Linked DNA regions of Ovis aries. The protein of the gene in region 1 purifies or fractionates together with the protein of each later gene. This does not show direct contact. Links are inferred from orthologs where the notes say so. Each region holds a gene or a part of one and is shown in the gene's direction. Other genes may lie near its edges.

Region 1 (4,063 bases):
TGTGTACATGCACCGCACCGCATCTTCTTTATCCATTCCTCTGTCAGGGGACATTTAGGCTGCTTCCATGTACTGGCTATTGTAAATAGTGCTGCACTGAACATTGGCGTGCACATATCTTTTCAAATTATGATTTTCTCCAGATGTATGCCCAGGAGTGGTGTTGCTGGATCATATGGTAGCTTTAAGTTTTTTAAGAACCTCCCCTACTGTTCTCCATAGTGGCTGCATCAACTTACATTTCCACAGTGTAGGAGGATGCCCTTCTCTTCAAACCCTCTCCAGCATATATTGTTTGTAGCATAAAATCCATTTGTAATTCTGGGACCATAGTTTGCTGATAGAAGGTCAGTTAGGTATTCTGGGATCAGATCATGCAGGACATGTAGGACACGGTTAACAATCAGATTAAGGCAAAGCCCCTTTCACTCTCCAAATGGAAAGTCACCCATTAGGGCGATTGAAGGCCTGGGTGTCAGTTCTGGGAGGCAGTTTCCTACAGCCCAAGGGAGAGCATCAGGTTTGTCCCCCTCCCCCCTGCCCCCACATACCATCAAGGGAGGACAAGCAAACACACGCACACCCCACGCCCCACCACACACCTACACCCACCCACCCACACCCACACACCCTTCTAGCCAGAAAGCCAGAGCGGACGTGCCCAGGTTCACGCTGACGTTTTTCCAGCACGCACTATGGGGTTTAAAGTTGGACACACACCTGCTCCCAGCCAGAGCGCACCTGCTGAGCCGCGCGCCGGCCTCCTCTCGCGAGAGCGGTGCAGTAGTAGTGTCCCCCACCCCCGCCCGGCCACCAAATCCCTCTCCCCGCCCCCTCGCCCAGTCTCCGCGCTCTGGCACACTCCCTGCCTTCTCCACCGCCCCCAGGAGCAGCCTCAGCCGCCGCGCGCGCTTCCCCCGCCCCCCGCCTGCCGATCGCTCGCTCGCACGCACGCCCGGTAGTAATTTCACTTTGCCACGCGAGCTCCGCATCCCCTAGAAATCCCGCCCTCCGCTCCCCGTACCCGCGCCGCGAGCCGTCCCTTTCCCCGGCCAGGTGCGCGAGCCTGCGCGCTCCACCTCCGCCTTCTCCAGCGGGTCCCTGGCGCGCCGGAGCCGGGGCCCGGCGGGGGCGGATGCGCGCACGGCGCCTCTCCACCAACCCGCTCCCCTGCAGGTCTCTCGCTCGCTCTCCATCCCTCGCCGGCGCTCCCTCGCTCCCCCCTCCCCGTGATTGACAGGCAAGATGTCGGTGTGGAGCGAGGCAGGAGCGAATGCAGCAGCCGTCACCCCCGGAGCCCGGCGGCGGCAGCAGCAGCAGCGCGAGGACGAGACAGCAGCCAGCCGCAGTCGCCGCCGCAGCCGCGGGAGCAATGCAGACAGCATCTTGAGAACGCGCTAAAGCACCCCAAACGGTGGACAATGCCGTGTAACTGCAGCTGGGAGGGGGGCAAACCAGATTTTTTTTGACATAAAAGCCAGCCAGCCAAAAATATATAATTTTGTCCTTCACGGAGCCGGTGTGTAAAGAGTGAGCGCTATTTTCCTTCTCCTCCTCCTCTCCCTCCCCCTCCTCCTTCTCCCCCGCCCCCCCGCTAAGTGTACAGACAGCATCACATCACCTGGTTTGCTTCTGAGAAACAGCATCTCTTCTTCTCAGGGACCAGAGACTCAGAGAGGGGAGACGTTCTAATGGAGTCTGCTTGACACCCCAAAATAAAATAATAAATTTTGGCTCTTGTCCCCTCCTCCCACCCCCACCCCCTCAACCCTGTGTGAGATGTTGGGTTTCTTCTTCATGAGACACTGTTGAGAAGTCGCAGTGGTTGGAGAGGCGTAGGGGATAGACTACCTCTACTCCCCCCCCCACACCCCCCTTTTTTCTCTCTGGGAGGAGGAGGAGGGGAAGGGGGCTTGCAGAGCAAGCGATGGATGAGGAAAACATGACGAAAAGCGAGGAGCAGCAGCCTCTGAGTTTGCAAAAAGCCTTACAGCAGTGCGAGTTGGTCCAAAACATGATAGACCTGAGCATCTCCAACCTGGAAGGGCTTAGGACCAAATGTGCTACCTCCAACGACCTCACACAAAAAGAAATCCGGACCTTGGAGGTAGGTGTTGCCTATGGAAAAAAAAGAAAAAAAAGCAATCCTTCCTCCCCTCCCCTTTCTCCCCCACCATCCCCTTTTTCCTTGATTCTGTTTGTTGGGGGTGGGGTGGAGGGGGTGGGAGGATTGCAAGGTGGGCACGGTTCGGTCTTCGATCTTCTGTGATTTATCTTGCAAACCCTGCGCTTGGATGTCCCTTCACTGTACCGCTGTCGGCTGCCGCTTGGCTGGGTGGTGGGAGCAGTAGTAGTAATTGTTATTCTTTATTATTGTTCTGGCGGCTGTGGTTATCGTTCGCTTCCTCTCTGAGGAGTGAGTTCTCTCTTTTTTCCGCTTGTGGATTTGTTGATATGCCGCGGGGGGCTTGTGTGCAGGGTAAAGACGTGAAGGCGCTGCAGAGAACCCACGTGACCTTGCGCATTCTGCAGGTGGTCAAAAGGTGGTTTTTGCTTGCGGAATGGGGCTGCCTGGAAATGTAGACCTCGTCTTTCTTGGTCTCCTTCCCAGCCCTCCCACCGCCCCCCACCCTGGGCTCCTTGGATTTGGCTTGTTTGTTTTCAGGGGTACACAAGTCAGGAGGCAAGATGCCTGAAAAAGAATTCCCCGTTGAGCTCCCCATTTCCAGTCGAATCATTTTGATGCAGGGAGCTGTTGCAGGCCTGAAGCATGCTTTTTTTTTTTTTTTTTAAGAAAAAGCCTGGATCGGCACACACAGGTGGTGTGAGAAAATACTCTGGAATCTTGGTGGGACGGTGAAAAAAAAGGAGGGTGGTCGGGAGGAGGAGTTATCTTTGGCGTGTTATAACATTCTCTCTAACAGAACTTGAGGGGGAGTTTGAAGCAATTTTGTCCGGGGGGGAGGGGGGTGGGGTGGGGTGGGAGGTAGGATGGATGCAAAGTTACTCAGAAAGAAGATGGCAGAAATTATTCCTTTCCAAGGCCATCTGGTCAAAGGAAGGAGGTTTCAAGAGGTTTAGAAAATGCCTGGCATCCACGTTGTTCCAAACACCTGAAGGGTTTAACTCACCTCCCTCCCTCAAACCGGCGGGTGGTACACATGGCTTGAGGCTTGATGAAATGTGGGAACTCCCATTACTTGGCATTTGCTGAGGGTGGTGGCCATGGGCTGGGAGCAGAGGAAAGTGGTTCTCCTGTGGTGGAGCTGGCGTGTGCAGAGCTGGGAGGGCCCTTCGTTCCAGCCCGAGTGTTTCCAAGGCCTGCACTCTTCAATCCTGGACTGAATCTTTTAGCCTTTGTGCTCCTGTCCCAGCATGGATGAGCACCTCTCCCTGATTCACTTTCAAGTCTTTCTCCTCCATGGTTTTAAATTTGGCCAGATGTCAGTCAGCAGGCAGGAAGGTCACCAGTTTGAAAGTGGAAGTTAGTGTGTGTGTGTGTCTGTGTATATTGAATATGCTATTTGCTCCCCTAGAATGTGTCTCTGTATGCACCTGTCACCTGGGAAAATAACTGTCAGAAATGAAATAAGTGTCAAGGGGTAGCAGAGGCGTGGGAATTCTGTTGGGAGGCACAGGTATTTTCTTTCTCAGAGCTTTGGAGAGCCATGCAGGGTGGGACTCTGCCGATGGAAGAAAAAGTGTGGGATGCCCTGGCCCAGCCTTCCGTCTCTGTTCGAGCAGTGCCTCAGAGAAGATTCTGTTCAGAATTGCATGCTGTAAATAAAGAAATAACCCAAAAGGGCCACCGGAGGTCTCTTCTGATCCTCTGAGTCAGAAGTCCCAAATGCTAGCTTGTGTATTAGTATGTAACTTTCTCTAGTTTTCTTTTCTTTTCAACATGCTTCATCCTCTGAGAGCTCTGTGGCTCATGGTGATTGTTGCAGTGGGCCACTGATTCCATTGCTTCTTTTCTGCATAGAGAGGTATTTTAAACTGGGAGAGGTAGGCATTGGTATGGTGGGAGGTGGCAATTACTGGGAGTGCATCTGTTTGTTTCCTA
Region 2 (4,289 bases), on another chromosome or scaffold:
ATACCGTGCGCGTAGCACAGTGCTTAACTCCAGGCTGTTAAAAAGCATGTGGGTGTATGCTAAGTCGCTTCAGTTGTGTCTCAGAGAACTTATGGACTGTGGCCTGCCAGGCTCCTCTGTCCATGGGGATTCTCCAGGCAAGAATACTGGAATGGGTTGCCATGCCCTCCTCCAGGGGATCTTCCCAACCCAGGGACTGAACCCGTGACTCTTGACGGTCGGGCCTTGGCAGGTGGGTTCTCTACCACTAGCACGCCACCTGAGAAGCCCCATTAAAATCACAGTAGATGCTTAAACGATTGGCATTAGTATGCAGAATTAATGCACAAATAAACTGTTTCAGTGACACTCTTTGGCATCTGGTAAAAAGGTAAGCTTCTAGGCCCTGAAGCAGGGCCTTTGCCCTCACTGAGGAGGTTTCAGCGTCAGCTCTAGTGGTTGTTTCTGCAGGTGGCACCTCTTGAAGGCAGGGATGGTTATTTGCAGAAGAAACTCTTCATAAATACCTAAATGACCCTAGGTGATATAGTGTTGAGGCCAGATGTGGAGTTAGGAGATGTTAGGTTTCAATAGGTGATTATTAAGCTCCACAGTTGTGGGACTTCAGGTTCCTGTTTCCTCAAGAATGAGATTGAGCGAGCCACTCCCTAAGGCCCAGGAGCTGCTAGCTCAGTCCCCTTCATCCCAATCTTGGTTTGGCCATTACACTCCAGGGGCCCTGAGCCCCCTCCTGAAGTCCAGCTGCTCAGCAGACCTACCCGTTGGCAGGCGGCAGAGAACACAGACATCTTTTAAGAAAACACAGAAATCCTCTGCTGTCTCAGTCACCTGGGATCTCATGTTTGAAAGGTAGAAGACGGAGGGAAAGCCTAGTCTTAACAGTCCCTGAGTGTCCAGAGGCAAGTGCTACGTGCTATGGTTTCTCCAGATGGGATTTTTTCCCCCCAGTTCCAAATGGACAATACCAGTTCCCCTGGTATTGTTTCCCGGGGCTAACCTAGCTTGCTTACCTGACGCAAACAAGCCTGGCCTGCCCCTCTCCTTCCGCGAATCAGGTCGGGTGGGCGGACAGGAGGGCAGAACTGTCAGAGAGAGGTCCCAATGTGAAGTCCACTAGCTTGCTTGGGCATTAGTTTCCCCGGAGGTAAGGGATGGAGTGAGGGGGCGTCGTTCAGTTTCCTCCCTCTCTTCCCTACAGCGCCCACAAAGGGGCAAGGGCCAGACACGTGGGCTGGCGTGGGGGAGGCGGAGGTTACACCAAGGCGGAGGTGCAAATGGCCGGGGGCGGGGCCTTATTTGCATGGACGGCGTTCGGCCGCCAATCGGGATAGGAGGAGCGACAGCCCGCGCGTCTTTTGGGGCGGACTGACAGCCCCGGGGCCCTATGGGAGGCGGGTCCTGCGGCCCGCGGGGGCGGGACTGCGCCGGGCGCTGCCCGGGGGGACTCTGGCCGCTTCGCGGGCGCTGCCAGTCTCCGGCGGCGGCGTCCGGCGCGCTGGCGGCCTGCTGGGCGGGCTGAGGGGCTGGCGGCGCGCGGCTGAGGCAGAGCGACAGAACGGGCGAGCCGCCACGGCGACAGGTACCGGCGCCATGGCCACGGGGGGGATGAGGCGGGGTGGCCGCCCGGCCCCGGGAGCCGCGTTCCCTCCTTCGCGGTCCTGCCGCCGCTGTGCCGCTTCCTCACGCGGCGCCCCAGCCCGGGAACCGCGCTGCGGGGCGGGCGGCGCCGAGACGCCTCGGAGCGGGCGCGCTGGAGGCGCCCAGGCTCCCCCGCGGGAATCCTCTGCGCCCCGCCGGGCGAGCGGGGCCGGGGCTCCCTTCGCCTCCGGGAGGCGCGGAGCCGGGCGGCCGCGGGAGCGGCTCCCCGCCCCTGCCGCGCTCTCCCTTGGGAAGACGAGGCCGGTCGCGCCCCGCTGGTCCTCACTCGGCTTTTTTTTTTTTTTTTGGTTTCCCGCCCTGGGTAACAGGTCCCGGCTCCGGCTCCTGTCTCGGCGGCCCCCGACTCGCCCGCGGCCCGGCGCCCGAGAGCCAGGCGGCCCGTGAGCCGCGGCCGCCGCGAGCGGGAGAGAAACTTCGGTCTCCCGGGCCCGGGCGGCGGGAGAAGTGGGCCGGCGGTGAGCCGTGCGCCGGGACGCATCGCGGCCGCGATGGAGCCTCGCTCACCTGGCGGGCCCGCCGAGGGGAGGGATAACGGAGCGTCCCGCCGCAGCCGCGGTCCCCGGCTTTCGGTCTGCGCTCCCGGGGCGGTGGGTGTGGATATACGCGTTCCCCGTCTTTCACCTGCCGCCCCGGGAGGGGGACCAGTGACTGGGAACACGGCCTCCCCGCCCTCGACTGCCGGTAAGAGGGGACCGGGGCAGCGCCGTTCCAACAGGTGATTATCCCAAGTGCCAGGTGAGAGCCACTGAAAAGTTGTTTCAGGGTTCGGTAATTCAGTTCTCCGGGGGCTTTGTAACGCCTTCTCCCATAATGATTTTTTTTTTTTTAAGGTGTGCTGACCGCAGTATAGGAGTCAAAAACTAGTATTGCTTGGGGTGCGGGGTGGGTGGGGAAGGTGGGGAGTGTCGCCAGCGGGTAGATTGCCTTCTTTCCATTGACTTGGCCGGGAGGAACATCTTAGTTTAAAAATCGGTTTCTGCAGTGGTGGTGAAAGCATGCATAGTAAGGTACAAGTTGTAAATGGAGAATGCAGAGCTCGAGATATCCTTCGCTGTGGTTCAGGACAGAGTGTACAACGTTTGGCCGCCATTCAGTAAATTCTGCATGAAGCAGTTTGAGCTCGTGGTTTTGGATTTACTTTACAAGAGTGGAATACGGCTTAGCTTTGAATGGGAGCTTTCTTTGCCTCTCTGAGGGCACACAGGAGTGTTTATTTTCATTGTCTTCTCGTTTTGTTAGATTATAGACGAGGGAAAAGTTGAGGCATATTTTGGTTCAGTATTTTTAATAGTCTATGGGAATTCTCCTTCACCCATTCCCCCCTCCCCCCGCCCCGCATAAGAGTATTTATTTTAAAATTCGAGGGTAGAGTTGAACAACTTTTTATTCTTGTGGAAGTTTTTATGTTATACTTCCACTTATTTTCTGTTTCTCTCTCTCTCCCGGCTGACCTCACTTAAAATCTACAGTTATGGCCCTGACCAATTTTAGAAAAAATTTAAAAATAATATATAATTATTCTAAAATATATTATGAAGGTTTAGATAACTCAGATTTTTCTTCTTATGTGTCTTTTTTTAAAATGTCTGTGCTGGATATGATTTGAATAAGAGATGTAAGGAACTTCTTAAGGACAGTTACACTTTTGATTTAATTATGTTACTTTATTAGTGCTTCATTGAATGGTTATTAGTCACATGTTAATTAGTAACACCTTTGAAAGGTGCACTCTAACCGATAGGCTAGTTGTGACTGTTCGGGATTTTTTTTTTTAATCAAAGATAGTTTTCATAAAAATTGTTTTGTTTTCTTGAAAACAACAGGCTTATCTGCTGTGAGTTCTTTGTCTTTCAAACATGACCATTTTAAAATATTGGATTAGGAACTAGTGAAGTCTTCAATTTTGTTTATTCTTGCATTGGAAAAAGAACATATTTCGGTTGTTTTGTTTCCTAAAGTCTTAGCTTAGAACAATCAGTCTAGAGAAGGAAGAACATTCTCTTTCTATAGTTGTAGAAGAAATTATTACTGTTGAAAGCTGAGTTGGCTTTTCGATGCTTAGTGAAGGTAGATTGAACAGTGACTTGTTCAGAGTGAGTTTTATTCTGTATAAGTAGTTCTGAGGAATCTTATGAGACTAGGGTTATGGGTGGTCTATATAATTGTTTTAAGTGTATAGGAGTATATTAGTCTAACTATTGTGTATAATTAGAAGTTTTATAGTTTTTATCTTGTGATGCTTAAATGTATCACATACCATAAATTAAAGCTATATTTCATAGTTTAATTTACAAAAGCATGTTTTGGGAACTTTAACTGTAAAAGTGCCTTTTAATTAAAATACTGTTTTCAAATTCAATTTTTACATGTTTCAATTACTGATTTCTGTCCACTTTTAACTTGTGGTAGACCGTATCGTAAAATGGTCAACCACATTATAGCTTCAAAATTAAATATAAGTTGAATTCTTACATCTACGTAATAAATGTTGGGAGTATTTTTAAGTCACTTACCCTCAGGTGTGGCTCCTTTTGAATTTGGGGGTGGGCAAATATTTTTGATTAAACAAAGCTACAGAAAAACAGGGACACATGTGAAACAAGCTACGTTTGAGGCTAAATCACACGATA
Region 3 (3,557 bases), on another chromosome or scaffold:
AGGATCAGCAGGGATCCTGCTCTGGGCTGTGGTCCCTCCTGGCCCTCTGATGGGCAGGGCAGTATCCTGACCAGTCCCACAAGACCCAAGGGAGCTGGTCTCCAAATGTTCTCTGGACTCCAGAGTGGCGTCCCTACTCCTCCTGCATCTTAGTGAGAGCCCCAGGCTCGAGTCCCGGGAGTGTGTTGCGCCCACGTGGCTCTCCTGACTTCCTGTGCTCCCAGCAAAGGAATGTGTGTTCAGCCTCTGTGTGTGTTCCTGCCCTCAGCCCCTCTGGCTTTAAGAACGGAGTTACAGGCCTACCCAAGGCCACGTCCCAACACTGGCCCCCTTCTTTGGAGTGATGGCCCTGAGTCAAAGCTGGCACAAAACCTCAGTGTGCACTCCTGTGCCTGTAGACCAGCAGCTCTGTTCTACTGAGGACCTGAGGCTGAGCTGGTTGGTGTCTGGCTTGGGCTTGAATCCTCTTGGGTCTGTTCTTTGCAGTTGACCTAGTCTGTGGGCACGAGCTGGGTGTCCCCTCACAAGAGAGAACCATCCTGCTGGGGGTGGCTGTGGGAAGGCATGCTGTCCAAGGGCCTGCAACCAGAGCTCGGCTCTGCAGGCAACCTTCAAGTAGGGGTGGGAGGTTTTGCCTGGGGGCCTCGTGGGTACCAGGCACTGTGTTGCCAGAGTCTTCCACAGTTCTTCAGGTTTTAAGGGGCATTCATGTGGGTCACACACATACACTGTGCCCCCTGAACTCCGCTCACACCCCTCCAACAGGCAGCTCTCTGTCCTTCCACCTGGCACCCCCACCTTCCCTTGTCCATCTGGCTGAGTCCCACCCATCCTTTGAGGCCTGGCTTCCGTGTTACTGGAATCCTGGGTCCCACCTGTCTGATTCCTCTATCAGCACCTCTACCACCTGGGGTTGCTCTGCCTGTGTCTCGCCCATTCCCGGTGGCATGTCCCCTCCAAGCAGGACCTTCTCTGCTGTCTGCTCATCACTGGCCCTGCGTGTAATCAACTCCACAGAAATGTCTTAAATTGGTCACTTTCAGATACCTGGGCTCTGGCTCTGCCTCTGACAGGGGTGGGTGGGAATTATACTGTTTCCTTGTGGTATCATGATGGCTTGGGCACCTGGGACTCTGAGCAGCCAGGTCAAGGATCCACAGCCTGGCTCTCTCCCACCATGCGGGGAATCTTGGCTTCCTTGGGGTTTGTAGCTGGGCATTACTCTGGGCCCCTTGTCAGCTGTCTTCTGCATCTCTAGGTGGTCATTTCCTTCCTCATCTTTCCAGGTATCGTGATGAATTTGGTGACAATCCTTTCTGTCGACTTGGACTCAAGGGGATGGGGAGCCAGGCTCCCGGGGGGGGGGGGGGCAGCAGAAGGCTCTTTGTGGTCTCTCGGCTGTCAGGGGAAGGGGAACCCACCCCGATGAGGGGCAGCGGTGAAGCAATTGCCCTGTTGAACAGGGCACTGCTGGGTCTGCTCCTGGATGGGTGACACTGCACAATTTGGTTCACAGAGCTCCCCCTGTAACCAAGTGGATAGTGTTGCCTCTGATGATACTTTTTTTAAGTAGCTTTAATGAGATGTAATTCACCTACCATACAGTTGAGCCTTTTAGAGTATTTAACTCAGTGATTTTTAGTATATTCGTGGAGCTGTGCATCCATCACCATCATCAATTTGAGAACATTTTCATTACCCCAAGATGCATTCCATCCCCATGAACAGTCACTCCCCTGCCCCACCCTCAGGCCCTGGCAACCAGAGACCCGCTCTCTGTGACTGAGGGTCAGCCTGTTCTGGATGTTTCCCTTTAATGGAATCACACCCTGTGTGTCCTTCTGTGTCTGCTCCTCTCACTTAGCGTTATGTTCTCAGGCCGCATCCATGTGGTAGCGAGTGTCGGGGCTTCTCTCCTCGTCATGGCTGAGTGATGCTCATATGCGTGGAGGGACAGCATCCTCGGCCTGTCCCTCCTTCAGTTGATTCAGGGCGTACAGGTTGCTCCCATCTTCCAGATTCTGTGAACATTCCTGTTCAAGTCTGCTCTTGGGTGTGCGTCCTCAGCGCCCAGGTAGGTGGATGACCCCTCCTTTCCCGCCCCCTCAGCGGTGCGGCCCTGACCCCGCGCCCCTCTTTCCCGCAGCTGATCCACCTGGAGATCAAGCCGGCCATCCGGAACCAGATCATCCGAGAGCTGCAGGTGCTGCACGAGTGCAACTCCCCGTACATTGTGGGCTTCTACGGGGCCTTCTACAGCGACGGCGAGATCAGCATCTGCATGGAACACATGGTGAGCCCGCCCTCCCCCACCCCCCAGAGCCCTGGCCTGTTCCGGGGGGCCCAGCGCAGTGGGGAGGCGGTGCAGCTGTGTACACACTGCACATAGCTTCCTTCGTTTCTTAAGCACCACGTAGCCTCCTCTCCATTTTGCTTTCTCCCCGGATCCATGGGAGACACTGCTCTCTGTGGGCTCAGAGCTGGCCCCATCTTGTTCCCTCTGTTGGTCACCCCGGCATCCATGTGCACCCACCGGGTGATTTATGAAGCACTGTTGGTGGACACTGAGGTTGTTCCCAGTCCCTGCCGCGTTACGAATAATGCTACATTGAAAGTCCTTGCACCTGGGACTTCCTTGGTGGTCCAGTGGTGAAGACTCTGCGCATCTGCTGCAGGGGACGGGAGTTCAATCCCTGGTCAGGGAACTAAGATCCCACATGCTGTGTGGTGCAGCCAAAAAAAAAAAAAAAACCAGGAAAGTCTGTGAACCTAAGCAAGCCCACCTGGGGAGGGCTGCTTGAAGAAATGCTTGACTGCTCCTTCCCACATGTCCTCTAGCCAAAGTGCGTGGTCTGGGACACAGTTCTGGACCCCCAGCTCAGGCCTGTGGGGACCAGGCCTCTGCAGTGGAGGGTGGGCGCCCATCTCCTTTAAACCACGACTGATTCCTATGCGCCCTGTCATTAAGGAACTCTGGTCTCAAGGCTCAGAAATGGGTGGGATTGAATGTCATGAAAGCAGAAGTGGTCAGAGCTGAAGGCCCCTGGAGGAAACATTGCCGGCCCTCTGCCACCCGCCCTCGGCAGGTAGAGCCCTGCCCGAGCCCAGCTGTCCAGGCCCCAGCCCTTGGGGGCCCTTGCAAAACCAGGATGCAGTGTGGCTTTCAGCAGGCAGCTTCTGTTAGGCCCGGCCTCCAGCGCACTGTCCTCTCTGATGGTTTTGTAATGAAGTCAGGAAACGAATTTGAGCAAGAGCCCACCAGGAATGCTTGTGAGCCACGGGGAGGGTTCTCCCCACAGCTGCTTTGCCCCCACCTGGCAGTGCCCAGTGGGTGCCCTTTCCTCACTGGGGAGAAGGCGGTCATATCTGCCCGCCCACCTGGCCACCTCCTTGCAGATGAGAGTCAGGAAGAGTTAGGGTGAGAAATGGACGTGAGGTCACTCTGGTCTGAGGGGGCCTCTGCTGTATTGTAATGAACCCCCCACTCCCACCCCCACCTCTCTCCTTCTTCCCTCCCCACCTCCACCTCCTCTGTGTTCCTGGCCACAGCACACAGG

The links.
Region 2: the proteins of KSR2 (region 1) and FKBP5 purify together in Homo sapiens (affinity purification with mass spectrometry; 3 studies listed by BioGRID and IntAct, with this or other methods). This does not show direct contact. The link is inferred for Ovis aries from reciprocal best matches to the Homo sapiens genes KSR2 and FKBP5.
Region 3: the proteins of KSR2 (region 1) and MAP2K2 purify together in Homo sapiens (affinity purification with mass spectrometry; 3 studies listed by BioGRID and IntAct, with this or other methods). This does not show direct contact. The link is inferred for Ovis aries from reciprocal best matches to the Homo sapiens genes KSR2 and MAP2K2.

The regions. Positions count from the first base shown.
Region 1 is NC_056070.1:57,243,534-57,247,596, forward strand, and holds the start of KSR2 (kinase suppressor of Ras 2), read left to right. Parts: upstream 1-1,231; 5' UTR 1,232-1,927; coding exon 1,928-2,107; intron 2,108-4,063. UniProt on the Homo sapiens protein: Location-regulated scaffold connecting MEK to RAF. Has very low protein kinase activity and can phosphorylate MAP2K1 at several Ser and Thr residues with very low efficiency (in vitro).
Region 2 is NC_056073.1:9,818,957-9,823,245, reverse strand, and holds the start of FKBP5 (peptidyl-prolyl cis-trans isomerase FKBP5), read left to right. Parts: upstream 1-1,469; 5' UTR 1,470-1,579; intron 1,580-4,289. UniProt on the Homo sapiens protein: Immunophilin protein with PPIase and co-chaperone activities. Component of unligated steroid receptors heterocomplexes through interaction with heat-shock protein 90 (HSP90).
Region 3 is NC_056058.1:17,717,486-17,721,042, forward strand, and holds part of MAP2K2 (dual specificity mitogen-activated protein kinase kinase 2), read left to right. Parts: intron 1-1,405; exon of another isoform or gene 1,406-1,933; coding exon of another isoform or gene 1,934-2,074; intron 2,075-2,146; coding exon 2,147-2,293; intron 2,294-3,557. UniProt on the Homo sapiens protein: Catalyzes the concomitant phosphorylation of a threonine and a tyrosine residue in a Thr-Glu-Tyr sequence located in MAP kinases. Activates the ERK1 and ERK2 MAP kinases.